Oryctolagus cuniculus: one gene and its partners. The protein of the gene in region 7 purifies or fractionates together with the protein of the main gene of each other region. This does not show direct contact. Links are inferred from orthologs where the notes say so. Each region holds a gene or a part of one and is shown on either strand. Other genes may lie near its edges. The genes, in order: SAP130, SMARCC1, SAP30L, MTA2, ING2, MTA1 and SIN3A.

The links.
Region 1: the proteins of SIN3A (region 7) and SAP130 purify together in Homo sapiens (affinity purification with mass spectrometry; 4 studies listed by BioGRID, with this or other methods). This does not show direct contact. The link is inferred for Oryctolagus cuniculus from reciprocal best matches to the Homo sapiens genes SIN3A and SAP130.
Region 2: the proteins of SIN3A (region 7) and SMARCC1 purify together in Homo sapiens (affinity purification with western blotting; 3 studies listed by BioGRID, with this or other methods). This does not show direct contact. The link is inferred for Oryctolagus cuniculus from reciprocal best matches to the Homo sapiens genes SIN3A and SMARCC1.
Region 3: the proteins of SIN3A (region 7) and SAP30L purify together in Homo sapiens (affinity purification with western blotting; 4 studies listed by BioGRID and IntAct, with this or other methods). This does not show direct contact. The link is inferred for Oryctolagus cuniculus from reciprocal best matches to the Homo sapiens genes SIN3A and SAP30L.
Region 4: the proteins of SIN3A (region 7) and MTA2 purify together in Homo sapiens (affinity purification with mass spectrometry; 4 studies listed by BioGRID, with this or other methods). This does not show direct contact. The link is inferred for Oryctolagus cuniculus from reciprocal best matches to the Homo sapiens genes SIN3A and MTA2.
Region 5: the proteins of SIN3A (region 7) and ING2 purify together in Homo sapiens (affinity purification with mass spectrometry; 5 studies listed by BioGRID and IntAct, counting the BioPlex papers as one, with this or other methods). This does not show direct contact. The link is inferred for Oryctolagus cuniculus from reciprocal best matches to the Homo sapiens genes SIN3A and ING2.
Region 6: the proteins of SIN3A (region 7) and MTA1 purify together in Homo sapiens (affinity purification with mass spectrometry; 3 studies listed by BioGRID, with this or other methods). This does not show direct contact. The link is inferred for Oryctolagus cuniculus from reciprocal best matches to the Homo sapiens genes SIN3A and MTA1.

What each region holds. Positions count from the first base shown.
Region 1 is NC_091434.1:118,436,528-118,440,027, forward strand, and holds part of SAP130 (histone deacetylase complex subunit SAP130), read right to left. Parts: intron 1,828-3,500; coding exon 1,706-1,827; intron 1,152-1,705; coding exon 849-1,151; intron 1-848. UniProt on the Homo sapiens protein: Acts as a transcriptional repressor. May function in the assembly and/or enzymatic activity of the mSin3A corepressor complex or in mediating interactions between the complex and other regulatory complexes.
Region 2 is NC_091441.1:101,097,202-101,101,299, forward strand, and holds the start of SMARCC1 (SWI/SNF complex subunit SMARCC1), read left to right. Parts: upstream 1-1,298; 5' UTR 1,299-1,416; coding exon 1,417-1,617; intron 1,618-4,098. UniProt on the Homo sapiens protein: Involved in transcriptional activation and repression of select genes by chromatin remodeling (alteration of DNA-nucleosome topology).
Region 3 is NC_091437.1:41,406,334-41,409,442, forward strand, and holds part of SAP30L (histone deacetylase complex subunit SAP30L), read left to right. Parts: intron 1-632; coding exon 633-761; 3' UTR 762-808; exon of another isoform or gene 809-2,531; 3' UTR 2,532-3,109.
Region 4 is NC_091432.1:8,952,997-8,957,199, reverse strand, and holds the start of MTA2 (metastasis-associated protein MTA2), read right to left. Parts: upstream 2,801-4,203; 5' UTR 2,387-2,800; coding exon 2,359-2,386; intron 1,682-2,358; coding exon 1,614-1,681; intron 1,274-1,613; coding exon 1,180-1,273; intron 1-1,179. Other genes in the region: EML3 (echinoderm microtubule-associated protein-like 3), read right to left, coding at 3,134-3,564, 3,645-3,665, 4,023-4,121. UniProt on the Homo sapiens protein: May function as a transcriptional coregulator. Acts as a component of the histone deacetylase NuRD complex which participates in the remodeling of chromatin.
Region 5 is NC_091433.1:65,334,884-65,339,157, reverse strand, and holds the start of ING2 (inhibitor of growth protein 2), read right to left. Parts: upstream 2,801-4,274; coding exon 2,620-2,800; intron 1,877-2,619; exon of another isoform or gene 1,087-1,876; coding exon of another isoform or gene 1,050-1,086; intron 1-1,049. UniProt on the Homo sapiens protein: Seems to be involved in p53/TP53 activation and p53/TP53-dependent apoptotic pathways, probably by enhancing acetylation of p53/TP53. Component of a mSin3A-like corepressor complex, which is probably involved in deacetylation of nucleosomal histones.
Region 6 is NC_091451.1:47,293,007-47,296,506, reverse strand, and holds part of MTA1 (metastasis-associated protein MTA1), read right to left. Parts: intron 1,768-3,500; coding exon 1,665-1,767; intron 1,307-1,664; coding exon 1,207-1,306; intron 1,034-1,206; coding exon 845-1,033; intron 691-844; coding exon 616-690; intron 385-615; coding exon 326-384; intron 50-325; coding exon 1-49. UniProt on the Homo sapiens protein: Transcriptional coregulator which can act as both a transcriptional corepressor and coactivator. Acts as a component of the histone deacetylase NuRD complex which participates in the remodeling of chromatin.
Region 7 is NC_091443.1:108,521,551-108,525,722, forward strand, and holds the start of SIN3A (paired amphipathic helix protein Sin3a), read left to right. Parts: upstream 1-1,372; 5' UTR 1,373-1,395; intron 1,396-1,494; exon of another isoform or gene 1,495-1,519; intron 1,520-4,172. UniProt on the Homo sapiens protein: Acts as a transcriptional repressor. Corepressor for REST. Interacts with MXI1 to repress MYC responsive genes and antagonize MYC oncogenic activities. Also interacts with MXD1-MAX heterodimers to repress transcription by tethering SIN3A to DNA.

The DNA of each region.
Region 1 (3,500 bases), on a different chromosome or scaffold from region 7:
TTGTCTTAACCAGTATCTTGACTGCTAGGCCAAATGCCCACTGCCACAATGATAACTAAGATTAATATTCCATCTGATAAAGTCTTTTAACTACATCAGAAAAACAGCTAATCAATATTCCATTCACAGTGATTTATTCCATTTTCCAAAATGCCTATTCCACTAGTATTGTTTTTTTCAGATTTATTTACTTATTTGAAAGGCAGAATGACAGAGAGACCTTCCATCAAGTGGTTCATCCTTCAAATGGCTGCAACTGCCGGAGCTGAGTCAGGCCAAACCCAGAAGCCTGGAATTCCATCTGGGTCTCCAAGTTGGCAGGGGCTCAAGTACTTGGGTCATCATTTGTTGTCTTCCCAGGCACATTAGCAGGAAGCTAGACTGGAAGCAGAGGAGCTGGGATTTGAACCAGCACTCTGATATGGGATACAGGCATTGCCAAGTGATGCCTTAACCTGCTCTGCCACAATATCCACCCTTGTATCTCTTTTTAAATGCACTGACATCATTAGCTAACATGAGGATAAGATTTCACACTTTACATATAACTCTGAAGATCTAAGATGAATGAGAACACTACTTGTAAGGTGAATCTGCCCCATAAACTAAGAGATTTTTATGGAATGCTTCTCATTATTGAGCAAACATTTATATCTGTTTATATATGTTAGTCTGAATGTTTACAATGTCCCTGACGCTAAGTTCTAAGTGACTCATGTTACAAAGAGGAAATTAAGGCCTACAGAAACTTCTCAAGACCCCAAAGTCAGCAAGCGGCAGAGCCAGATTAAAACCCAGGTTTATTTCCCTACCCTATGCCACTTTTCATACAAAAAAGTTAAAATTACCTGAGGTCTTTCCTTCAGGTTGTGGCTGCTGAGCACCCATCGGAGCAGGCTGAAGACCCTGTGTGCTAAGTGGGGTGGCTGAGTGAATGCCCTGGGTGCCAATTGGTGCAGGCTGGATCCCTGGCGTCCCAATGGGTGCTGGCTGGATGCCCTGCGTGCTGATGGGTGCTGGCTGGATCCCCTGGATATGTCGAGCATGTGACGCATCCACTGTCATCAACTGCATGGGGTTTAGGTGGACTGTAGATGCTACTCCAACACCAGTCTGAGCTGTGATGGCAGAGTTTGGAGCCTGAGCTGAAACTAAAAATGATGCAAAGTGTGATTAAAGGTACTAGTGGCACAATCTGAATGACTTTCAAATGCCCAAAGTTAGCCAAGGATCCTACAGGAAAAGAATATGCAAACTCTGAGACTTCCAGACTGCTTTTCCTGGATTAGCAAAACACTACTTCTAAGTCAGAATGGTGATAGCTAAACATAATTGCACTAAAATTGAAAACACATAACAGTATCTCACAAAACAACAGAAGATTCCTAAGAGTATAGCTCTATCCATTCTACCTGTATACAAGTTTAAGAACTAACAAATATTATTTACATGATAATCCGCAGGGTGGGATAAAACTATGCAACTATTACCAACACTACCTTTTCATATGATCTTTTCAAAGATCATCAACATGGTGATTTAAGCCCTTATACAACCTTCAGATATGTTAGCCTTATCTGAATCTGGAAATCTGAACCTAGAATAATTAATTCCCATACTAGAAATAAGGCCTAATCAATTTGTATCTCATTGCTAGCAAAAAATTAAAATGCAAAGTCATTTTAAAAGTGGGACTTGTTTATACCTGGATACTGTCGGATAGTGGACACCGAACTGGTAATTGGGGTATAGGTGTGTGCTGCCAGTGGATATGCAGAAGGAGGGTAAGTTGGCAAAAAGTACTGGAACTGGACAGGAACAGAAGGTCTAGGGATGGAATAGAAACAGTGTGAAACAAAGTGGTTACTGGTTCTTTGCCTTTAAATGTCCCTCCTCACACCATTCGTAACTGCCCTGAGATTCTCTCAAACCGTGTCTTCAAAACTCTTAGATCAAAGGACAGACTGTAAAAATAAAAAATAAAAAAAAATAAAAAAAAAGTGAATACAGCAAACAACCACATGTCAATAAATCTAAAAACAGATATTTTATGGATGCTTTTTGAAAAGAACATTTACATTTAACAAAACTGACTCACACAAATTCAGTAATGAAAATCTTCCGTGTTCAATTCTACAAATTGTTTTTAATGCCAAATTTTGTCAAATATATATAAAACAGATAATCCCAACCTCCTACAAATTGATTCAGAGACCAAAAAAAGAAGAAACAAAATCTAACTTATTTTTTGAGATGTGGCCTTAGCACTAAAACAGGACACAGTATGAGAAGATAATAAACAAATCTCAATTTTCACTGTACACTGACACAAAAATAACTACACAGAATTACATTAAGGATTATATAGTGGTCAGCGCTGTGGCGCAGTAGGTTAAAGCCCCGGCCTGCAGTGTCAGCATCCCATATGGACACCAGGTAAAGTCCCAGCTGCTCCACTTCTGATCCAGCTCTCTGCTATGGCCTGGGAAAGCAGAAGATGGCCCATGTCCTTGGGCCCCTGTACCCACATGGGAGACCTGGAAGAAGCTCCTGGCTCCTGGCTTCAGATCAGCTCAGCGCTGGCTATTGCGGCCATTTGAGGAGTGAACTAGCGGATAGGAGACATATCTTTCTCTCTCTCTCTCTCTCTGGCTCTACCTTTCTATGTAACTGTCTTTCAAATAAATAAAATAAATATTTTAACAAAAAAATAAGATCATATAAAATTAAATACATCATGACCAAATAAGGTTTGTCAAGACAAGAATGATTCAACATTATAATTTCCATTCATGTTTTAGATGATATTTAAAAAATCAGGGGAACAATCACTTGAAATGTTGCAAAATATATGCACAAAATAATTGATGGCATTTCAATATTTATTCATGATGTAAATGCTTACAAAATAGGAATAAAAACTTCGAAAATGTTATCTACTCAAATCTACAAAGGAATTTCAGACGAATTTCCAGTCACTATCTTTAATTCAATAACATTTAATTGGAAACTCTATCCAGCAAAATAACAGGTATAAAAGATGAAAACACCTTCTTGCCATGCCCCCAACTGTCCTTAATGATATAAACATCTATATTAGAAATCCAAGAGAATCTATAAAACTTCAGAGTAACAGGAGTATTTGGCAAAGGGGGATCAGCATAATACTAATATATTAAAACCTGTAAATATTCCTACACACAATAATAAAAATGATATTTAAAAATCATCTGGGGAACTTTCCAGAACACTGAGGTGGGGAATAGTGCTGCCTGCTCAGGTTGCACAAGTACATGCTCCTTCCTTCGCTTCACACTGGCTCTACCTGGCTCACTGGCTGAAGAAAATGGTTTAAAAAATCACTTACTATGATGTTTTGGGGGTTCAAACCCATTATCACTCAGGAAGAACTGAAAAAAGTTAAAAGTTGGTCTTAAAAATACCACCTTTGATAGAATGACAAATGCCCTAAACAACACTCTGGCCTCAGAATCAGCCCT
Region 2 (4,098 bases), on a different chromosome or scaffold from region 7:
TTCTGCTCTGGGATCATAGCATTATGTCCATAGCTCTGTTAGGGATAACCATACTTGGATAAAAACTCAATATGGGGCCAGAATTGTGCACAGTGGGTTAAGCCGTGGCCTACCTCACCAGTATCCCCTATCAGAGGGCCAGTTGGCATCCTGACTGCTCTGCTTGTGATCCAGGCAATGGAAGATGGCCCTGAGTAGTTGGACCCCTGCCCTCAGTGTGGGAGACAAAGACAGAATTCCAGGCTCCTGACTTTGTTATAGCCACTTTGATAAACAACCAGCAGATGGAAGATAGTTTTTTCTGTCTTTCCCTGTCACTCTGCCTTTCAAATACATAAACCAATCTTAAACTCAAAACCTCCATTCCTGCGGGCCATACATTCCCCAAATATTTGTTAGCTAACAGGCAGAGTGGCTGGCGTTGTGGCTCAGTGGGTTGAGCCGCCAGTATCCCATACAAGCAACCTGTTCTAGCCCCAACTGTCCCACTTCCCATCCAGTGCCCTGCTGATGCGTCTAGGAAAGCGATGAGTGACCCGGATGCAATTTCAGGCTCCTGGCCCAGCCCTGGCCGGTGCAGCCATTTGGGGATGGAAAATGTCTCTCAACTCCGCCTTACAAATATTTTAAAAACAAAACAAGAACAGGCTGTTTCCGCAGCGCGAAGGGTACACCTGTGAACAAGATTAGGTTCTCATGCAGTCTATCTGCGCACACACACAAATAATAAAAACATCGGGTCACGTTCAGGGCTTCGCAGAACGTGTGAGCCACGGCTCAGGGGCCGGCCTTCGGAAGTACTTCCAGGCTGTGAAAGCGGCCGAGGCTCATGGGTGAAACCACAAAGCAAGACCCAGGAGGTCGCCGAACAACCCAGCGCGCAAAGGCCATAGGCAGGAAGGGGCGCGCGTGGCCGGGGCCACGAGGGGCGCGGAGGCCGCCCCGCGCCGTACAGGGTCCGGGCGAGCAGGGCGGGCGCGCAGCCGCACCGCGCCCAAGCGCCAAGGCCCGCAATCCGCAAGGGCTTCTCCCGGGCACTTATCAGCCCACGCCTTCCGTCGGCCAGCACAGACCCTCCTGGCGGCTGTCCACCGCGTGAGGCGCGCACACAAGAACCACAGGAAGTAGAGAGGCAGCCCCCGTGGCGCGGCGGAAGAGGCGGGCGGAGGCGCTGGCCCGCCGGCAGGGCACTGCGCAGGCGCGCGCGCGTGCTCGCGACGGTTACGGCGCCGGGGCCAACTCGGGGCGGGGTCGGGCTTCCGCGCCGGAAAGGGGTTGGCTGGGCGGGGCTGAGGGACGGCGGTGGTGGTGGTGGCGGCGGCGGCAGCAGCAGCGGCTGCGCGCGCGCGCGGGTGCGAACGGGGAACGCTGCGAGGGCCGGGCCGTGCCGGGCGGTGGGGACGACTGACGGCGACGATGGCCGCGGCAGCAGGCGGCGGCGGCGGCGGGCCTGGGGCAGCGGCAGGCGCCGCGGGCGCGGGGGGTGCGGCGGCGGCCGCGGGTCTGGCGGTTTATCGACGGAAGGACGGCGGTCCGGCCAGCAAGTTTTGGGAGAGCCCGGAGACAGTGTCCCAGCTGGATTCGGTGCGCGTCTGGCTGGGCAAGCACTACAAGAAGGTGGGTCCGCGCGCCCTTGGGGACCGGGAGGTCGCGCGGCGGGGGCCGGCGGCGGTCCCGGGCTTGGCGGGCCCCGGGGCCGCCCCTCCCCCCGCGCGCCACGAGGGACAACAAAGGCCGGCGCCGGGGCTGCCACGCCCCCGCCGGCCGCCCTGGGCGCCCCTCCGGCTCCCGCTTGGCTGCCGGGGGTCCCGGGCCTCGGCCCTGGGAGCCCGAGCGCTCGGGGCGGAAGCTCCTGCGGGCCTCGGTGCGCGACAGCCGGGCGGCGCGTGTGTCTTTTGTTGGCCGCCTCAGGTGTGGGAACAATGACCCCCCCCCCCCCAGTACCCAGCCGGCGTGGGCGCGCAGCCTCGGGGTTCGTCCCGAGAGTGGCCTCCGAGTGGAGGAGGACCCGGGTTTCGCTGCCCGCGGCTGGTTTGCCGCAGGCCTGTGGACGCTTGTCCCGGGCTTCACGTCACGACCAGTGGCACCGAGGAGAACTCGTGTCCGGTGAAGAAACGACGGGTTTTGGTTGTGCCCGTCTGCATGCTGCGAGTTCGAGGCTGTGTTCACCTGTGCCCTTCAGCCAGGCCTTCCCTGAGGACCCGCAATGTACAAGCGCACCCTACTTCGTGTCACCTTTATTTAATTCCTAGTGCTGGCCGCTGCCTGAAATTTGTGCTTGCTTGTTTCTCCTACCTTTGGGATTAAATTCTGCTGAATCATAGGTTTTCAAAGTTGTGACTTAACCCTTTGTTCAGAATTTTGAAAACCCTTTAAGTTTATGCTTCATGTAAATATTCCCAGAATGATTGCCTTGTAAGGTGGATGAAGCAGACAGCCACTCTCTGCCTCGAACTTCCCAAGCACCCTCTTTGACTTGTGCTCTCCCCCAGGGAGCAAGGGCACTGTCAGGCCTGTACCTGCTCTGGAACACGGTCGGTGCTCGGTGCCTCCCCTGAGCAGTTACTCAGTAAATACTTGCTGAACGAATGAAAAGATCGAGGTGTCTAGGAATCTGTTAGGGGTCTGCAGCTCAGTGAGTCTGTCTGTTTCAGCAGTCGTTAGGTGAGGGCAGGGATCTTGGGTTCCTTTGAGGTCGCTCACACTGATGCTTTCTTCAGAAACCACCGTTCCTGCTCTGAAGTTTGAGGAAGTGAGAGACAGTAGTCACATTTTTGGATGCATTGATTTTTTACCCCCTTTGAAGTTACATATGGGACTGTAGATTTTTCTCTACAGTATTGCTTTCTGTTGTAGTGACAAATTGGTCACTTTGTATATGGAATATAGCTTCTGGAAGTGGCTCACGGAGTTGAATATGTTCCAAAAATGTTAAATTTTTTTTAAAGTTGGTAATTTTCTCATCCAGTGCTTTGGGTCTTAAGGTCAAAGAAGATTTAACAAGAAAAGATTATCAGGAGTCATATTCCTTTGAAAATCAAGGAAAAGAGTGGAAAAAAAGTCAATGATAGTTATTTTGACTTCTCCAAATAATCAGTGTATTAATTTTGGTCCATTTTAAAGAGGGCTGCTTTATGCCTGGGTAATACCTCAGAAGTTTGAGTGACTGGGAAAGTAGCTAAGAGGCAGACTGAAGGATTTGACCCACAGCGTTGAGGCCACTAGGCCAGTGTTGACACACTGTTCCTGAGGCTTTAAAGACAAAGTCAAAGTTAAGTTTGATGTCTCAGGGCTTTGTAGAATCAGAATGTATTTCTTGGGCCTATCCAGGTTCAGAATTGTATATATCTCTTATGCCTGACAGCCAGAATTCTTTCAGCTTCCGGGAGTCATGTTGAAGTGGTAAAAATCCTAGTCAGAAGGCTCTTTGATTCTTTTTTGCATACTGTATTTCTGCTTGGTTTGTGTTTTGGTGGGTTTGAACTAAACATTTGTTTTGCATTTAGTAATGCATTTTCAGAGCAGTTAAAAAAAATTTTTTTTTTAGTACTTATTTGAAAGCGTTAAAGAGGGAGGTAGAGAGAGAGGTCTTCATCTGTTGATTCACTACCCAAATGGCCGAAATGGCTGGAGCTGGGCTGAGCTGAAGCCAGGAGCATCACATAAGGGCTGCGAGCACTTCAGGTGGCGGCTTTGCCTGCTTTGCCACAGCACTGCTCCAAGGCTAAGGTTTGTGGTGTGTGTTTTTTTTTTTTTTTTTTTTTAAGATTTTATTTATTTATTTAGAGGTAGAGTTACAGACTGAAAGAGGGAGAGACAGAAAGGCTTTCCATCTGCTGTTTTGCTCCCCAAATGGCTGCAACAGTTGGAGCTGAGCCGATCCAGGGGCCAGGAGCTTCCTCTGGGTCCCTGACGTGGGCACAGGGGGCCCAAACACTTGAGTTATCTTCTGCTTTCACAGGCCACAAGCAGAGAGCTGGATCAGGAGAAGAGCAGCTGGGACACAAACTGGTGCCTATATGGGAAGCCTGCGCCACAGGCAAAGACTCAGTGCTGGCCCCGCCCCCCCGGGCTAATTTTTAAGCCGATGATTTTGTA
Region 3 (3,109 bases), on a different chromosome or scaffold from region 7:
GCAGAGTTATACAGAAAATGAGAAATAGAGAAGAGACAGATCTTCCATCTGCTGGCTCACTCACCAATTGGCTACAACAGCCAAGGCTGTCCAGGCAGGAGCCAGGAGCTTCTTCCTGGTCTCCTACATGGGTGTAGGAGCCCAAGGACTTGGGCCATTGTCTGTTGCTTTCGGATGCACATTAGCAGGGAGCTGGATCAGAATTGGAGAAGCCAGGACTTGAACCAGTACCCATATATGATGCTGGCATTGCAGGCCACAGCTTAACCTGTTATGCCACAATGCCAGCCCCCTAACACAACTTTTTATAAAATATGTTTCCACCCATGCCAGGGCCTGACAGGTTTGGTAGCAGCTGACTAAGCAGAGCAGTTGGTCTCTTCATGGAATTTAATGATCATGATGGATGATTGGCTGCCACTAAAATAGAACTGTACCTTGGTAGGTTAAAGTTCTACTTCTGGAATTCTGGAAAACAAGTCACCATTGTACATTGTTGCAAGAACTTCTGCAGTAGCTGTAATTTCCACCACAGCACTGCAAGCGAGTCCTTGTCCCCTCTTTTGCACAGTTTTGAATTTGTCACCCTGAATTGTACAGGTTTAAGGGATTTTGGTTTCTCTTCCACATAGACTGTCAGCCGACACTTCAGGAACATACCTGTGAATGAAAAAGAGACCCTCGCCTACTTCATCTACATGGTGAAGAGTAACAAGAGTAGACTGGACCAGAAATCAGAGGGCAGCAAGCAGCTTGAGTGAAGACAAAGCTCATCTTAAAGGAACAAAGCATAATGCCTAATGCACAGGTGATATCTGCTACATTTAAAGACTGTTCAGTTTTACTGTAAATAAAAGTTTGAATGATGATACTGTAAATCTTTTTGGTCAAGAGGATTATATTCTCATGACTCAGCATGTGTATAGACAGACTTTTAAGATAACTACTGGACTGAAACAAACAGGATCATAAAAAGAATTAAAGGAAAACTATGTATTGCAGAATTCAATAAAGTGTTAAGTCTATTCTGCTGAAAAATGTGGGATAAGAAATAGTTTGGTAGTCACCTTGCAATACCAGGCTGCCACCTTTGGGACATAGCCCTGGAATAAGGATAGGGTGTAGCTGATGGACTTGCACACTGACCACTGGGTATGTAGATGGCCTGCTTTGTTGCGGATTTTTTTGTCATTATCAATTTGACATTGGTCTCTTCACTTGCCCTTGTCCACAGGGGGCATTTGATCAGTATTGAGTTGTCTAAGCTGTCAAAGCAGTGCCAGCCCTGTAACATCTGCTTCCTTGCTCTTGTAACAGAGACCTGTGCTACTTTTGTTGTTCAGCACTTAACTGCTAAAGTATGGAGGGACTCCTGATGGAAGGACAAGGAAGTTTGAGATCAAAAGAGTATTTCAGGGCAGTTGCATGCCCCGGTTTGTCAAGGCTTCAGAAACACTGATAAATGTTTCTCACAGGAGACGTGGTACTTTGCACACCCCTCTGTGCTTCACTTTTGGGATGAAGTTATTAAGACTTGAGCCAAGATCCTGGGCAATAAATGCTTTGACAAACTGAGCAATTTTGGTTTGGGGCTAATGTTTTCAGAAGTATTAATCCTCAGTTCATGACCACCAGGAAAGCTGCCAAGGACCATATGACTCCTGCTCAGAAGCTCAGCTGTGGGGTAGAAAGTACGGCTGTCCTTAAGTCCCTGGGCTCTGTCTGGTAGACAGCACATCATGAATTTGAGCAACCAAGGTTAGTGCTATCTGATGCTCATTTTTGTGAGCAATTTGCTTCCCTGTTAGGGAGAAAGATTGCTTAAAATAATTTTTAAAGTATTAATAATGGCCTGATTTTTGTTTTTGTCAGTAAGTCATTCTTCTAGCTAATTTTATCAGAACCAAAGTATCCTGGGAAAACAAAGCTTTATATCCAAAAATATGCTTTTGCAAAATTCTCTCTATGATCATTGTGTTGGGGGTAGAAGGCTGAGAGAAAAAAATTTGGATTCTAGTATCTGACCAATCTTGATACATATGATGACATATGATGGTCAAAGGTGTCATTTTGCTTCTCAGTTTCAATTCTTAGTTGTTTCTTAAGCCTTAAATAATAAAAGGAGTAATGCACAGCCTGGCTGGCAGAGTTTCCATGTCTCATAAATGGCTTAATCTGAGCACCATAGGCAAGAAGTCAAAACAAAACCCCGACTGAGCAGGGTGGCAGTGTCTGAAGATTTCAGTTCTGTGAGCAGAGTACCATGCTCTCTGTGGAATGGGGACAGAGCCACCCCTGTCACTAACATGCAGTGTGTTTCATTGCAGCAACGCTGTCACCAGTGTTCAAAGTGCATGTCTGGCAGATTGCAGCCTTTTTTACATGTGTGTAAATGAATGTACATAGACAATGCTCTGAACTCTGAAGGGATCCTGTTTTGATACACTTGGCTGTGTCTGGCATGTCAAGGTACTCTTGAGTATTCTCATTCAGATCCAGTGTATATTTAGTGATTGTCTCCTTACTTACAGCTGAAGGATATTGATAGAGACATCAAGAAGCCTCATCGGGGGCTGGAGTTTGGCAGATGGAGCCTGCAGGTTAAGGCATCGTTAATGTTCTCTCTGGAAATGTTTCTTTTTGAGGAAGAAAGTATATTTTTCTGATATTTAAACCAAAATTGTGAGTATGTAGTCATGTCACAGCTCCTTTAACAGCAAATCTGTTTTCCCAGTGGAGAGAAACAGCAGTGCATTCTCGTCCAAGAAGATGTGGTATCAGGATTCACATGTTGACATGTGTATGTAAGACTGCTTTTATTCCAAACGGAAGCCTGGGCGACTTGTGACCTTCAGCCAGAGGCTGTGCACACTTGAGTCTCATGTTGTCTTGAAAAGTGCTTTTGGAAACTGGAAGTTGTAGGCATCTTCAACCTTTTAAAAACAGGTCAATTGAGAGAAAAGACAAAGCTATTTGAACTTAACGTTTATTCATGTCCAAAAGTCTGTTCTTTCATGAAACCACTAAACCACTTGCCTTAGCCTCTTCCGCAGTTTCTGACAGCTTCATCTGTGGGCAGAAGACTTCTGCCTATGAGCAACAGCCAGGC
Region 4 (4,203 bases), on a different chromosome or scaffold from region 7:
AAAAAAAAAATGTCACACAGGTTGTGTTTACCAGTTCCTCTTTTCAGATTTCAGGAGACTCTGCTCTCAAACATCACATGCAACCCTAACTATCCCTCACTTTCTACTTGGCTAATAATAGTTTGTGGGGCTTTCAAGGACAACACCTCTCAAGCCAGTGCCAACACCTCCCTCAAGGAGCTGCAGCCTGCCTTGAAACCTTGGTGAAAAGGGTTAACCTGGCCGGGCGCCAGTCAAAGTGGGAGGGTGCAGGAGAGCCTCAGGCTCAGGCTCATTGGTGCATTGTTCCCCGACCTCGGGGAGGGGGGGATGGGGAGGGGTGCAATATGCTCCACCCCTTGCCTGTGTGCTCCGGAAACCCTGTGCTAAGGCAAAGGGGACCACACCCCCCACACCCTTTCTGATTGGACAAGGCCAAGGTCAGCCCCTGCCAGAGGAGGCTGGAAACCCCAAAGGCCCAGGGAACTTCGTAAGCCCGCCCGGCTCTCCTCATTAACCCCTTCAAGCCCAGTGCAGCCTTTAAAAAGGAAAATAACTTAGACAAGAGGAAGAGGAAAGAAAACCAAAGCAGGAAAGGAAAAAGAAGCCAAGGAAAAAATGAAGGCAATACATTTTCCAAAAGAAAATGAGAGCTTAAAAGGAAGGAAGATAAGGCAAAAGGAAAAAGGAAAGAAGTAAAATGGAGTAGAGGGGACATGGAAGAGGTGAGAAACAAGAAAAAGTGCAAGAACACTTTCCTGCCATATCCTAACTTCCATTCTCTCCCTTCACCGCGTTCGCACCACCTCGTGATTATAAAGTAAGCCTGCTTCCCTGCTGCACAGGCTTCTCAGTACAATCTCTTCCTTCTCACCTTGACCCTCAGACACCCCTCATTGTCTCAGTGTACTCAAAACTCTACCCCCCCAAAGTGTCCTGCTTCTCTTCCTTACCTCCTATGTAAACACTATCATTTCTGTCTCTCTCTCACACACACACACACACATACACCATAGTCTGGCTTTCCTTATCATGGTCTCTCCACCCTGCTTCCAACCCCAACGTGTAAAAACAGGCCTCCCTCCACAAACCAGGCACTTCCCACCCCCAAAACTCACACCCCTGCTTTGGGCATGCTACCAGGGGAAACACCTGCAGGGACATGCCCAGATGGCAGGAGGAGGGGATGAAGACACTCACTGGCATTACTATCGGCCAGGCTGTTGAGGCTACTAGAAATGTCCCTTCGCCGGAAAAGACAGACAACCTTTGCCTCCACATTTCCATTTGCAGTCTAAGAGAGGGGAAAAAAACGTAGCAGTGAAAATTGGTTATCTGAAAGTGGAAATGCACAGAGCCTAACAACATGGAATAAATTTCTAAGGGACCTAAGTAAAAGAGCTCAAGAAATTATAAGGATTTAATTCAAGGACAGACTTCCAAACCCCTTTCCTTTGCACCCGAGAGACAGATGAGGAAGACTCCCACTAAGCTCTCAATAGCCTGTCCTGTATGCACCCAATGAATGAATGAATATGAATGAGCACTCAGGTTAGTGGCCTCTCTTCCACCCGAACTTAGAGACCTCAAAGGAGCCCACTTGGGGGATGGGGAGGGGGGTCTATTCCACTCACCTTGTTGAGCTCCTCAATCCGTCTAACCAGGTAAGGATTGCTGGAGGAGTTCTCAAAATAGACGTAATCTGTAGGAGGGGGTGGGGAAGAACGGGAAGATGGGACAGCCAGTCAGGGTAGGAGGAGAGAAAACCGCCCGCGTCGACCAAAAGTGGGTAAGGGTCCAGGCAGGGGAGGCTCGAGTGTGGACAGGGGCAGACTAAGATGCCTCCACCTTGCCGCATCGGATTCTAAATCACACCCTTCGCTCAAAAGTGAGCCTTCAGGAAAAGACAGGCAGCAGTTTCCCCCAACTCAGCGATGGAGTTGCACTCCAGCCCCGGCGAAGTGAACAATTGTTCGCTCCAGCACCCGGCCCCCGCCTTGGCGGAGCGAGGCGCACAATAACGCCCAGGGAGAAGAAACCTCAGGCTGCTCCCCGCAGGTAGCACAGCCGTCGCCGCGGGCCCCCCGCCCCCGGGGCCCCGTCCCTATCCTGTCAGCTCCTTCGGAACCAGTTTCTCAAGCCCACTCCCCGCCCCAGGGGCCCGCGGTGCCGCACTCCGAGTGCCGTCGGGGCTGCCCGCAGCCTCTCCCGACCCCCGGAGCCCGGCCGCGTCGCGGTCCCCGCACCCTCGCTCCCCGGGCTCCCGGTTCCGGTTCCGGTCCGAGCTCCGGTCCACGCCGCCCCAGACGCGGCTCCCTGCGCCGCCGAGTGCCCGGCCCCCCCTGCCCCGGGCCCCGCGCCCCTGCGCCCGGTACTCACCCCCCACCCGGTACATGTTGGCCGCCATGGCCGTTCCCGCCGCCGCCTCCGGCCGCACAAAGGGGTCCGGGAAGCTCGCGGGGGCAGGGCTCGGCTCGAGGCGAAGCCCCGAGAGCCGGGCCGGCGCTCTGGGAGAGTCTTCCTGGGGTCCGCGCAGCCGGCGCCTCCGCTGCCTCAGCCGTCGCGGTTCATCCCGGCCCGCGCTGTCGCCGCCGCTGCTGCCGCCTCAAGCCCGGGACGCCGAGGCCGGCGCCGGTCCGCTCGGCTTCTTCCGGAACGAACTCGGCTCCTGCCGGACCGGAGCCAGGCTCCGGCTAGCCGCCCCCCCACCCCCACCCCCGACCTCGACCGGTCCCACCAGACGTTGAGCTCCGCGGGCCCAGGGGAGGCTAGCCCTGCCCGCCTCGGGATTCGCCTTCTTCCGGAACACCTTCGGCTGATCGGAGAACAAGGCCCGGCGCTCGGCTCAGGTCGGAGAGCAAGACCCCACAGATCGGCTACTTCCGGAATGAGCTCGAGTGGCTTCGGCCAACCGCGGCCCGTCCCTCGGTTATTTCCGTTGCAGCTCGGGACCGCCCCCTCCCCGAGGGCGGGGGAGGAGGCGGGCTTAACCCTTCCCTCGCAGGAGTCTGCGGCTCCGCCTGACGTCCCGCAAGGCGCGCGCGCCCTCGCGCTTCGCCGGGCGGTCTGCAAACAGCTTTGCCTACCATTTGCATGAACGGCCTACGGGCGCTTTCCACACTCCTCTTCGCCTCCATCCCACCCCTCGGGGTCCCTAGGGCACCCAGCTGCGCCCCACAAAAGCACAGGGAGGCGACTCTGGTTTTGGTTTATTGCCCCTCAGCAGGCAGCAGGAGTCAGGACCCAGGCTGGGGCGGCCCGGCTCGGCCAGCGGGTCCCTACAGTGTGTGCAGGGGCGATCGCCCCCCGGGGAGATGCGCACTTGGGAATGTCTCGAAGTCGAGGAAAAGGGGCCGGCCAGTCGGTCCGGTCCGGCAGCGATCAGACGTCCAGAGAGGAGGCGGGGGACAGGGACGGGGTCCGGGAGGGCGTGGCGGCCGCCGGCCCCGCGCCCCCAGCGCCCAGCACGCGCCACTGGAAGATGCTGGCGTCCTTGCCGCCTAGTGAGACGAGGTACGAGTCGTCGTGCGTGAACCGGACGCTGGTCACGTGGCTGCCGTGGCCCCCGTACACGCGGCTCGGCGCCTGGCGGGGAGGGGAGGGTGAGCGGCAGCGCCGTCCGGGCCCGCCCTGGCCCGCGCCCCCGGCGCCCCGGGCAGCCTCACCTTGGCGCGCGCGCACGGGTACTGGAAGAGGTGCACTTTGCAGAAGTCATCGGCCACAGCCACCACGCGCTCGTCGTGGGAGCGGCACAGCGAGTTGATGTCGGTCCCGTCGGAGCCGTCCGGCCACACGCCTAGCACAGCGACGGCCTCAGCCCGGCCCCCTGCCCGCCACCACCCGCGGCCCAGCGTAGCCCCATCTCTGGCACTCGCTGCCACCAACAACCGGCCGCCTTCCAGGCAGTCCTTCCTGGTCCCGAGGGCGAAGGGGTAGGGGGCCCGTGGGCTGGGTCCTCCGCAGGTTCTCCGAACACCCGCCCGGCGTGCCGAGCCCACAGCGGGCTCCACCTCGTCCCGCTCGGGCCCCCCACCCCTGCTCACCGTACACGTGGAAGCCCAGCACGCAAGTGTAGGTGGCCCATTCCCTGTCTCGGCTCTCATAGCGATTCCTCAGCAGCTTGCAGCCTCCAGCCACGTCCCCTGGGGAGACAGCCGGCCCAGCTCAGCCCACCCTGCCCGCAGCTGGAAACATGCCCGAGAAGGCCAGGATGGTCAGACTGGT
Region 5 (4,274 bases), on a different chromosome or scaffold from region 7:
TGGAGAGAAATTTCCTTGAATGCTTATATAATTTATATCATTAAATATTGCGCTAAGTATTAGATGCCAACCAAAAAAAATACTTAAGGACTAGCAAATAAGAAACATGAAAATGGGTGCCAGCACTGTGGCATAGCAGGTACAGCCTCTGCCTGCACAACCCCGGCATCTCACATGAGTACCAGTTTGAGTCTCGGCTGCTCCACTTCCCGTCCAACTCCCTGCTAAAGTGCCTGGGAAAGCAGAGGAAGACCTCCCAAGTGCTTGGGTCCCTCCATCCCCCTGAGAGACCCAGATCAAACTCCTGCCTCCAGGCTTCCGCCTGGGCCAGCCCTGGCAGTTACGGCCATTTAAAATAAACCAGGGGTGGGAATGTAGGCATGGTGGGAAGAATCACCATGTTCCTAAAGCTGTAATTATGAAGTTTATCAAGTTTGTAACTGTAAAGCTGTATAGTTCTGCATAAAAAAAAATAAAATAAATCAGGGGATGGAAGATCTCTCTGTGTAGCTTTCAAATAAATAAATAAATGTTTAAAACAAATTAAAAAAATGAAAGTGAACCAGGAACACAATAGTATGTAAAGTTAGTAAAAAACCATAAAGGTTGAGTTTAGCAACTATGTGCACAGAGCGAAAATTCTATTGCTTTTCTATTAATGTGGAAGTTAATCACAATTTTACAGAATTGAGAATTTTGACAATCTCTCAATCTTTTAAGTCCTACCATATCACTCATACTACCAGAACTAATTATGACAATTATAGATGGTCAAATAGATTTCTCTATCAACAAATTCTAGCATTTCTTCCCAACTTCAAATAGTTTAAGGCAAATTTGTGCCTTTAAAGTATAAAAATCTACAAGCTTTACAATCTTCAAAGTTACCACTTGAAAAACCACAAATATTCAATATACAATTCTTAAGCACATACGTATAATTTTCTGGGTTACGACTCACATATGTGCACCACATCGGAAAAAATAACATTGGACAACTCTTACTTAAAATAAAAAGGTTTAAACAGTTTGAAACAAAGGACATTCACCTAAAGTAACAGGCTTAGGAGACAAAAATTCCCCCATTCAACTAACTGGACAAGTTACTTTTATCTGTAAAAATCAGTTTTACTTCATATAATGTCCTGGATCTGGTGCAGTAACTGGCACACAGCGACAATCAGTATCAGCTTTATTCCCACTAAGAGATCGGCCCTATCAATCATATGGATTCAGAGAACAAATTTATGCATTCAACAACAGAGACTTAAATGTCGCTACACGCTACAGGCCACAGAAGTCACTCTTGAAGTGGATTCCTTGAAATCATCGGATTAGTGACGTGCTGGGAAAAACAGAGCAAGGGTACAAGAAGTTCGTGTCCAAGGTCTGTTCCTCGACTTCGGGTTATCAAACACATTTCAACTCCCGATCCGAAGTAAACCACTCCCCTGCTCGTAGCAGGCGGAGAGTGGACGACGAACGACACTATGCGACAAAGGTCGAGTCCCTGTCCTAGCTTCTTGGGTCTGACCACAAAGGGTGGTTTTCGTCCCGTCGCTGAAACTTGGCGGAGTCGCGACCCAGGGGCGAAGGGACGCCGGGCGGTTGCCCAGTCAACCAACCCACTTCCTCCTGGGGCCCGGAAGTGACACACGGCCCGGAACCTGCGAGCCTTCAGGGACAGCTACGGTGCCAGCAGCTGTGTCCCCGTGCCGACTGACCGGCTGCGAAAGAGAAAAGTCACACAGACGCCAACACTGGCTCTGCTGGGGCCGAACGAACGAGCCACTGGCCAGACTGGCTCTCGAGCAGCCGGTCCCACCCAAGCCTCTGCAGCCACTAGCCATTTCCGAGGCCGGCGGAGCGCCTCGCGTCCCCGCCCCTCGCCCACGTCACGGCCGCAGGCCCCGCCCCCAGGGGCCGGGGGCCCTCCCGGCCACACACGCCCCTCTCCTCCCCTCTCAGCGGGAGACCCCTCCCCTTTTAACCATTTGGCAGAAGGAGCTGGGCAAAGGCTACTGCGCTGGGCAGCCCGGAACTTTCCCCCCGGCGGGAGAGGGGAACAGACCGCTCGGTTCCCGAGCCAGGAGCCGGAGCGCGGAGGGAGGGACCTGCCCCGAGTCCGCCTTCGCGGCCCTCTCCCGCCCCCTCCCCCCGACACGTTCCAATGCATCTCCTCTCGGGGCCGGGGGCCGGAGGGGGTGGGGAGCGCGGGGCGCCGCAGACCGGCGGGAGCCCGGCCGGCCGCGGCCCCCCGCCTGGCTGCACACTCCCTCGGCCAGGCGAGAGGGCTTGCGGCACTGGGCCGGCAAGAGCCGGAACAAATGCTTGCTGCTTAAAATGGCTGATTCCCCTCCACGACAGCTGCAGCCGCTGGGTCTGCAGCCGGGGCTGACGCGCGGCCCCCACCCCCACTCCGGGGACCCCGGCGAAGTCCTCGCCGCCCGCAGCGGGGAAGGCGAGGGCCTCGAGCCCCCTGTCCAGCTCCTCCTCCCCGCCCCACACGGCAGGACCCCCGCCGTGTTGCACTCGCGGAGACTGTCACCGGAGAAAGGCAAAGTGGCACAGCCGGGGCAGGCTCCGGGCGGCCGTGCCCGAGAGCCCCGCGGCCCCTACCTTGATATTTGTTGTCCAGCTCCCGCAGCACAGACACGTTCCTCTGCATGTCGTGTGGCAGCGACTCCACACACTCGAGGTAGTCCTGCACGTAGCAGGTGAGCAGCCGGCTCCGCTCCCCGGTCAGGAGCGCGGCCGACGAGTACAGTTGCTGCTGCTGCTGCTGCTGCTGCCCTAACATCCTGCCGCCGCCGCTGCTGCTGCTCCTGGCCGCCGCCGCCGCCGCCGCCTCCGCATCCAGCAGCCGCACATGCAAAAGCCGCGCTCACCGCGGCTCGTCTGCTCGGCTGCCCGGCGCCGCGGGGACACCGGCCGCCGCTCCGGAGGGCACAGCCGAGTCCCCCGACCTCCACTCCCCCCAAAAGAAGCCCTCACTCCCCGCCCCCGCGGTAACAAGCCCAGGGGCGGGGCGAGATCAGGGCTCCCCCTCCGTTCCCCCCGCCCTCCCCAGGACGAGAGCCGCGGGGATCCCCCCCCCTCAGCGGAGCTGGCGCCGGGGTCCCGGGCGGGGACACTTCCTGTCCCCCGCAAAGTCCCCAGATGCTACCCACGCCGCCTCGTCGCTCGGATCCCCCTGACAAACCCCTCGCCCCCCACGGTCAGCCTCCGCGACTGTCCGAGAGTCTCTCACTGGACTGCCCCCGCCCCTTCGGCTGCGGCCGCCTCTGCGCCTGCGCAGGACGCCGTCCTAATAAGGCCGGGGGCCCGCCCCTAGCGCCCCACCGAAGGGTTCGCATTCTCCCGCTTTCCGTCCGCCGCCCGGGCGATTGGTCTGTCAACTCTCGGCCGCGGGGGGAGGGTGCGGAGGGCGGCCAAACGGCAGGCTGTGCCCCGCCCCCCCTTAAAGGGGAAGCACTGTCAAACCCGCGTCCCCGCCCGCGCTCTGAATGGGACCTGAAAGGTGGCCGAATTCTTCCTTCCGTCCTTCCCACTGGGAGAGGGGAGCCGTGGCCCGGCTCACTCGGCCCAGGGTGATCGACTCTTCCCCACGTTGGGCGGATCGAGCGCGGCTCCCCGCGAGCCTTAAAAGGAGCCGCCGGCAGCTGCTCTCCGTTGCACCCTGGAGTGAGGCCTGCGGGAACTACCGACCCAGTGTGCAGCGGGGCGCTGCTCCCGGCATGCACGGCGGCTGTGTTCCCGCCGAGCCGCCGCGGCTCGCTGGCCGCCGCCTCAGCGCTGCCCGGGGGCAGCGAGCCTCCTCCCGGCGCCGCCCTGGGGCTTCCCCAGCAGCGGGGAGGTAGGCGATGCTCCCTCTGACCGCCGCCGTTTTCCCTATCTTCCACGTAGTCGCCTGCAGGGACCCGGTGCGGCTTCGCTCTGCCTTGGGGTGACCCGGAGGGCTCCCGGCGCCGGGGTGGCAAGCTCTGGCCAGGGTTCCCCTCCTGTTGAGTCCTGTTGAGGGGGCAGGGGTGCGAAAGTGGCCGGTAGACAGCCGTTCAGAACGAAGCAAAACCTTTTCGGGGGTCGGAACGTTCAGGCATTAGACGTGGGCGAGGGCTTGCGGGCGGAGGGAGGGGCGCTGCACGATATGGTCACTCCGTCCTCCCCTCCGGCCAAGCCGAAAGAGGCCCAGGGACTGACGGTGAGACCCCAGGCCACAGTCCAGCCCACGAAATGATGGATTCCCATCGATTAATTTCTGGGTAACGTAAATG
Region 6 (3,500 bases), on a different chromosome or scaffold from region 7:
GCTGGCCTTGACGTTGTTCACGCTGATCTGGTTTGGACTTGGCTTGTTGCTTAAGAGGGAGGCAAGGGGAAAAGTCACAGGATCCGGACTGAGGATGCCCCCAGCCGCTGAGGACGGCTCCCCAGGCTCTCATGGGCCCAGCACCAAGGCAAGCTCAGTGGCCAAACCCAGGGCCCCAGCCTCCCCACACTGGCCACCCCACTAACTGGGAGGGCTGACTTGCCAGGGGCTTCTGGGATGTGGCCCCCGCCCCCCAGACCCAGGCCAGGGTCCCCTGCGCTGAGGGAAGGCGGCCCCGCGGCCCCAGGCCCCAGGCAGCACTCACTAGTTGGGGATGTAGACTTGCTTCAGCTTGCTCTCTGCTTCAGCAGCTTTCAAACGTTTCTTAAAGCAAAAGAGGGGCAGAGAGGTCACAGGCTGGACGGGGGCTGCAGCGCAGACACCGGACAGCGAGGCAGGGGCCCTGGGAGCTGGCTCTCTTGGGGAAGACTTTGGGACCCCAGAGACGCAAAGCCCTGGCACGGAACGTTCAGCCAGGGCTGCCGGGGCACCCAGGGGCTCTACAGCACGCAGCAAGTTCACGGGGCGCAAAGCTGCCGGGGGACGCGGGCCCACCTGCTGCACGTATCTGTCGGTGGTCTTCCACATGTAGTAGTACTCGATGATGCTAGTCAGCGACTTCCATGGCAGCTGGGCAAGAGGACAGTGCATCACGGGGGCAGCCCCGCTGCGGCCCCCCCGTCCCCTCCGAGACCCCCACCCAAGCCCCGCTGCCAACACTGACACGGCCAGGCCAGGGCCCCTGCCCAAGGCCCAGCAGCCGCCCACCGCCCGGGGCACTCACGAAGTCCTGCTGGATGTCCGTGAAGTCCTTCCCGTACTTCTCCAGGGCCTCCTCGAAGAGGTTGGCCTCCGACGCCGACCACTCCTCCATCTCATCCCTGCACAGAACGGGCCCGCCCTGCGGCACGAGGGCCGAGATGGCCTTGGAAATGTCGTAGATGTTCTTGTGCAGTGTGTCCATGGCGTGGAACTGTGGCGACACAGCAGGGGCGAGGGGCCCGGGGTCTTTTACCTGAACCTGCATCGTGGCCCCACGCCCTCGGTACCTCCTGGAGAGGGCCCCTGGCCACAGCCTCCACACACACTGACCGAAGCTGGGTCCTCCCCAGGTCCTGCACGCCTGGGCAGGTGCTGGACACTCACCAAGGTGATGTCTCGGGAGGCGGCGGCGGCACTCATGTGCAGGCTGGGCTGTCGCACGGAGCTGCTGCAGTCCAGGGCACGTGCGAAGGTGCCCACCGAGCTGGGGGACGGAGACAGGCTGACCCTCAGAGCCCTAGGAGCGGGGCAGCGCCCGCCACTCCCAGGGCATGGCTGCCATGGAGTCTACAGACTACAGTGGCCACAGCATCTGCGGAGCCACCAGGACACTTGGGGAGTGGCTGCCACGGCCTGTGTGCCATGTGGCCGGCTGCACAGCCCAGCCCCTCCCAGCGGAGCACCCAAAAGGCCAGGTGGGCTGGGTCAGCTGAGCCTCCTGGGGATGCCAGGTGAGGGCCCAGAGGCAAGGCTGTGGGCCTCGCCGCGACCTCAGAGCCAAGGCCACACGGTCTCCCCGACACCAAGGACCCCAGGTCCCTTCTCCAGTACCCAGAACTCACCGGGCTACCACCAGGAACTGGTCGATTTGCTTGTCTATGAGTGGGTTGTGGGCCTCCCACACCTTGGTCTCCAGCTTGGACTGGTCACGGCCGTCCTCCTCACCTACAGGGAAGCGTGCACTTGCGGAAACCACAGAGGGCCAAGGTCCGAGCCACGGGCCTGCCTGCTCCCTGGGGTCCCACAGCACAGACGATGCGGGGTGGCCAGCACACAGGCACTCGGGCTGTGGCTTCCGACATCTGCAGACAGCACCCTGGGGCTGCAGGCACAGTGAGAGGACAGAGACCCACATGGGCCCAAGGGAGAGCCCACCAGGGACGCGGACCCCGGTGCTGGTGGCTCCAGAGTGTGACCAGAGAGGCAGCAGAAGCTCCCAGCCCTCACTTTGATCCAGACGCACTCGGCTGTGCCATCACAGCCCCCTGGTGCCTTCACCTAGCACCCCAGTGTGGTAACAGGCAGAGCCCAGCTCCAGCACCGCTAACCTACACACAACCAGGGCTGGTCTGTCCTCTGGGAGCTCTCGGGAGGGTTCTGATGAAACAACCTTTTACTTCCAAAGAACAAAACCAGAGGGCCAGGGCTGTGGCACAGTGGGTGGGGCCGCCGCCTGCAGTGCCAGCATCCCATATGGGCGCCGGTTCAAATCTCAGCTGCTCCTCTTCCTGTCCAGCTCTCTGCTGTGGCCCGGGAGTACAGTGGAGGATGGCCCAAGTCCTTGGGCCCTGCACCCGCATGGGAGACCAGGAGGAAGCACCTGGCTCCTGGCTTCGGATCAGCGCGATATGCCGGCCACAGCGCACCAGCCGCAGCGGCCAGTGGAGGGTGAAGCAACGGCAAAAGGAAGACCTTTACTCTGTCTCTCTCTCATTGTCCACTCTGCCGTCAAAAAAAAAAAAAAAATCTGACCCTTCTCACAGGGCAGCAGCCCCTGAAGGCTGAGCAGGCTTGGCCACGGAAGGGTCCATGTGGGCCCAGTGGGCCCGGGGGGCTGACCGTAAGGGCTGCAGGGGGAGGAACTGGGGCTTTCTGTCCGCGCAGAAGCGTGGCCCGTGTCCAGCATCATGGGTGCATCTCCTTCCTCTGCCCACTGAGACCTCTGTTGGCGCCAGGACTCCCAGGGCCTCAGGCCGACCCTGCAGGGCGGCAGCAGCACAGCCCAGCCCTCGCCGCTGGCCAGGCACAAGCACGGTTTTGCATCCCTTCAACAGGATGTGGCTCAAGGAGCTGTGGAAGGTTCTAGAAGCCTCGTTCCTGCCAGCCAGGCCAATGCCCCTTGGACTAGCGGCCCATGAGGTTCAGGAGGCGGTGGGGCTGCAGAGAGGCAGGAGGCCCCTCCCTCGTGGCTGCGGCTCAGGCTCAGGCCTTCTGTGGTCAGGAAGGGGTCCTGGGGGTGGCTGCTCCACGGTCTCTGGGGAGCCCCAGCACCCTCCTGACCAGCACGCAAGCAGCCGAGCCCAGGCCCTCGGGTCAGGGCGTCGCCACGCAGTTCTCCCCAGGTGGGAGCTGGCGTGGGTTTCACGGTGGACGTGGCTGCCCAGGCTCTGCACCAGGCCTGCAGCTCAGGAAGAGACCAAGCAGTGAGCCCAGCAGGCAAGGATGCTGCCGGGGACGGGGCTGGGGCCGGGGTCCCCAGGCTGGCGAGGGCGGGCCCTGTGCACAGGGACTTGAGGGAACCCTTCACCGGCCACTCTGGGCCATGGTGCAGCATCCCAGCCCTGCTGCACAGCCAACACACCGCAAGCAGCCAGCCCACGAGAGCCAGGTCCCGGCCACGTGCACAGAAACAGGAGGCGGAAGTGCTGGAGGAGGGAGCTGGAGACCAGAGGGACGAG
Region 7 (4,172 bases):
GCGGTGCAGGCCGGCGCCCGCTCTACCCTACCGTTTGCCTCATCTGACGCCGGCACAGCGCAGGAGCACACAGGGCTCATCTCCCGGCTCCCCCTCCTCTCCCCTCCGTGGTCTCCCCAAAGCTGCGGCTCCCCACCTGCCCTCTCTGCTTACAGCCCAGCTTCCCACGTGGACCCTGGGGCCGGGGCGGAGGGTGGGGGTGGCGGCTGGCAGCCTGTCCGCTCCATTTCCCACCCCGTTTCGTGGAGAGGCTCAGGCCCAGGTAGGGGAGACAGGAGCTCGTTTAAGCCTCCGACAACGGCCACGCGAAGCGCAGGGCCGAATTCCGCCAGCCCCGAGCTCCTCCGCCTCACCCCGCCGAGGGCCGCTGGCTCCATTTGCCGCCCACCGCCCACTCCAAATAGCCGCCCTCTCCCCTGAGTCTCTCCAACACTGCTCGCCTTTCTTGCTCGCACGCATCCCCTGGCCGTGCCCTGGTCTAGTGTGCCCCGCCTGAACTACCGGCCCACCGCACGGATCCCTCCGAGCCCCGACCAGCCGGTCTCCCTCGCTCACACCAGGCGCATCCGGCCTCTGCTGAACACAGACCTGCGGGGTGGCCCTGCCCCCTGGAAACTCTTTTCGGTTGGCAATGGAGACCAACAGAGCAAGGGCGGCAGGGCAGAGGCAGGGCAGGCGTCGCAGCACTGTAGCCACCAAACCCAGCGCCTCCCTCCCCTCACTGGGCACACCCCAGAGCCCACCGGCTGCTAGGGCGCTAAGCACCCGACCACACCGGCCTGGGCCTGCGACCGGCTTTTGGTCCAGCTAGGAGACGTCCCGCGGCTTGGGGCCACCTCTGCCACCCTGGTTTCCAGCATCGCAGTCCTCACGCTTTCCACCTGTCCCTTCGTGCCCTTTGCCCCTCCGCTTCTGCCCGGGGCAACCCCTAAGACCCACCTGGCTCGCCGCCGCCTCCACGCGGCTCCGCCGGCTTACCTGCAGCCGGCAGGGCTCTCCTGGGAGCGCCCGGGAGTCGGCCAGTCTGTGCGGGAGCACACTCCCGCCTCGCCTCGGCTCCTGCGGCAGCATCTCCACCGCGCCCGCACGCCCCAGGGCTGGGGTGACTCCCTCGCCGGGCTGCACGCAGGGCTTCCCGCCCGCACCCCTCGTCTCCAGGCGCCCAGCACGGCGGGCCGCCGTCCCGGAGCCCCGCCGCCCGGGACCCTCGAGGCGCCGCCGCGACGGCACCGGGGATCCTCCGCTCCGGGCTCGCCTAATTTATTTATTTGCACGGTTCCCGGAGGGAGGGGCGGGGCGAGCGCGGAGGCGGGCCCTCGGCCGTGACGCAGCGCCGCGGAGCCAATGGCCGGCGGGGGGCGTTCCCCATTCAGCACTCCTCGCCCGGCTCGGAAGGTATGTTAAACAGCTGCTTTCAATTCGGTGCCCCCGGCCCGCGTCCGGGGGGCGGCTCGCCGTGGCCGGCCCGACGCAGAGCGGGCGCGCAGGCCCCGGGGCGGCTCGGAGTCCCGCGGCCGAGGTAGGCGAGGGGCCGGCCCGGAGGGAGGGCGCTCGGCGCCGCCCGCCCGCCCGCCACTGTGTCTCCCGGCCGGGCCGAGCCGTGGGGAGGGGGCGCCAGCGCCGGCCGCGCCGCCTAGTGTTGCCGAGCACTCGGTGTCGGTAGGTTTCGGCGGCGGATTGGGGAGCGGCGAGCCGGAGGAGTCTCCGGCTCCGCTCACGCCTTTTTTTTTTTTTTTAAGAAAAACACACGAAAAGCAGCAAAAAAAAAAAAAAAAAAAAAGGTGGGTGGGGGGCCCTGCGCGCCGACCGGACGCGCTCCGGCAGGCGGGGGGCGGCGGCCGGCCCGGAGTTCCCTCCGCGCGGACTTGCCGGGCGGGCCGGGCTCGCGGCTTCCCTGCGCGCGCAAACTTGCACGAGGGGCGCGGGCGCCCCCGGCCCGGGGCCGCCGCCCTCGCCCCCCGCCGCCTCGCCGCCCGGAGCGGCCGTGAAGGTCGGAACCTGGGGAACTGTCTCCACGCTCGCTCGGGAAGAGGAAACGCATCAGCGGGCGGGAGGCGGGGCGCAGGCGCCGGGCGGGGGCGCGGGCCCGGCCGGCCGGCCGGCCGGCCGGCCTCCGGCCGCGGCCCAGACTGTTTACTACCGACTCCGCCGGCGGCTTGTGCAAGCGGCCCGCAGGGGACACGCGGGGCGGGGCGCCGCCTCGCCGCCCGCCGCCCCGGGCTCCTTGCGGGCCCCGCCTGCTCTTGTCTTCCATTGGCTGCTCGGGACTCCCTCTTTCGCTTCTCGGGCACGGATTGGCTGACATTATCTCGAGCTCCGCCTATAGGGAGGCCGGGCAGGAGTTTAAGTTGCTAGGGTTTTTTTTTTTTTTTTTCCGTGAAGGGCGGAGGGGGGGGCGTCCTGCGGCTACGTGAGGCGCGAGGGCCCGCCCCCGCTCCTGATTGGCTGCGCGCGCGGCCCCGCCCCCGGCGGAGCGAGCCGGGAGGGGAAGTCCGCCCTCGGCCGCGAGCGCGCCCCGCACATGTGTGAGGCCGCCGCGCTGCTCGCGTGCCTCCCGCCCGGAAGTCCCGGCTCCGCGCCCCGCGGGGGGAGGGGGTGGCGAAGGCGCGCTGGGCTGCCCGGCATCCCGCGGCCGGCGGCTTCCGGGTGGCGCTGGGGGCTCTGCGGGCGAGGGTCTGTCCGTCGGGCCGGGGCCGCGCTCTGAAGTTCGGGCCCGGCGGCGTGGCTGTTTCCGCGCGAGAGCGCTGCGGACGCCGGCAGCCGCTGCCCTCGGCGGGCCGGGAGGGGACCCCGGCGCGGGGTCGGGGCGCGGCGCGCGGGGCTGGGCCCGAGCTGCGCCCCCGCCGGGGGGTCGGCTCCCCGCAGTTCCCAGCTCGCAGCCGGCACTCACCTGTTGCCGGAGCTCGCTCCGAGGCTGCGGAGGGAGGGCGGTGTTGGGGTCCCCTCTGCGGGCGAGAGCGGGAAGCCCCGAGCCCCGCCCCCCAAGCAAGGCCACCGGCGGGCCCATGCCCTGTGTGCCGGCACCTGGTCTCGGTGCAGCTTAGCCTTCACGGAGCGGACCTAGGGACTGCCAGGAGCCCACGGTGGCCGAGGTGGACGCCGGCCGCGCCGGCCTCACCGCACGGGGAAGCCCCCGCCCAGAGGGGTCTGACCGCACGCGGGACCCCGGCCCAGAAGGTGTCTCTGCACGCGGGACCCCGGCCCAGAGGGGTCTGACCGCACGCGGGACCCCGGCCCAGAGGGGTCTCTGACCGCACGCGGGACCCCGGCCCAGAGGTGGCCTCTGACCGCACGCGGGACCCCGGCCCAGAGGTGGTCTCTGGCCGCACGCGGGACCCCGGCCCAGAGGGGTCTCTACCGCACGCGGGAGTCCGGCCCAGAGGGGTCTCTGACCGCACGCGGGACCCCGGCCCAGAGGTGGTCTCTGGCCGCACGCGGTACCCCGGCCCAGAAGGTGTCTCTGCACGCGGGAGTCCGGCCCAGAGGGGTCTCTGACCGCACGCGGGACCCCGGCCCAGAAGGTGTCTCTGCACGCGGGACCCCGGCCCAGAGGGGTCTGACCGCACGAGGCACCCCCGCCCACTCCGGTCCCTTCCTCGGTTCCTCCGCTGGCTCTGCCCCCGAGGCGGCCAGGGCGGTGGCCGTCGGGCCGCTTTCAGGGCTGCCCGTTCCGGTCGGGTTTGTGGGCGCAGCTCTGCCCCGGCCGCTGCTAGGCGGCGGCGTGCGACCGCCAGGCCGGAGGCTGAGGTTCGCGGTGAGGGGCGCCCGGGCCCCGGCGCTGCCCCCGGAACTCCGAGCTCGTCTCGGTGTCAACATTCCACCAAAGGACGGCGGGGCGGAATCGCCGGGGGCGGGCCCGGCGCGGCTGTGAGGTGGGAGGCGCCTGCGTCCCGCACGGACACTGTGCCCCACAGCGGCTGCCTTCCTGGGGCGCCGAGAGCCGGAGGTAGCCTTCCGAAACGCTGACCGGCGGAGGCGGGAGCCGACCTGCTCGGCCTGTGGCTGAGACGGCGCGGGGCGGGCCGTGCGGTGTCCTCCAATGAGACGAGAAGAGCTCCCCCGCTTCCGCCAATGGTGTTGCGGCTGGGGGGAGGGACTCGGCAATCCGTCTCCAATAGGCGGGGTTGAGTTAGGGAAGCTCCCCGCCAATAGGGGCGTGGAGAGGGTGAGCG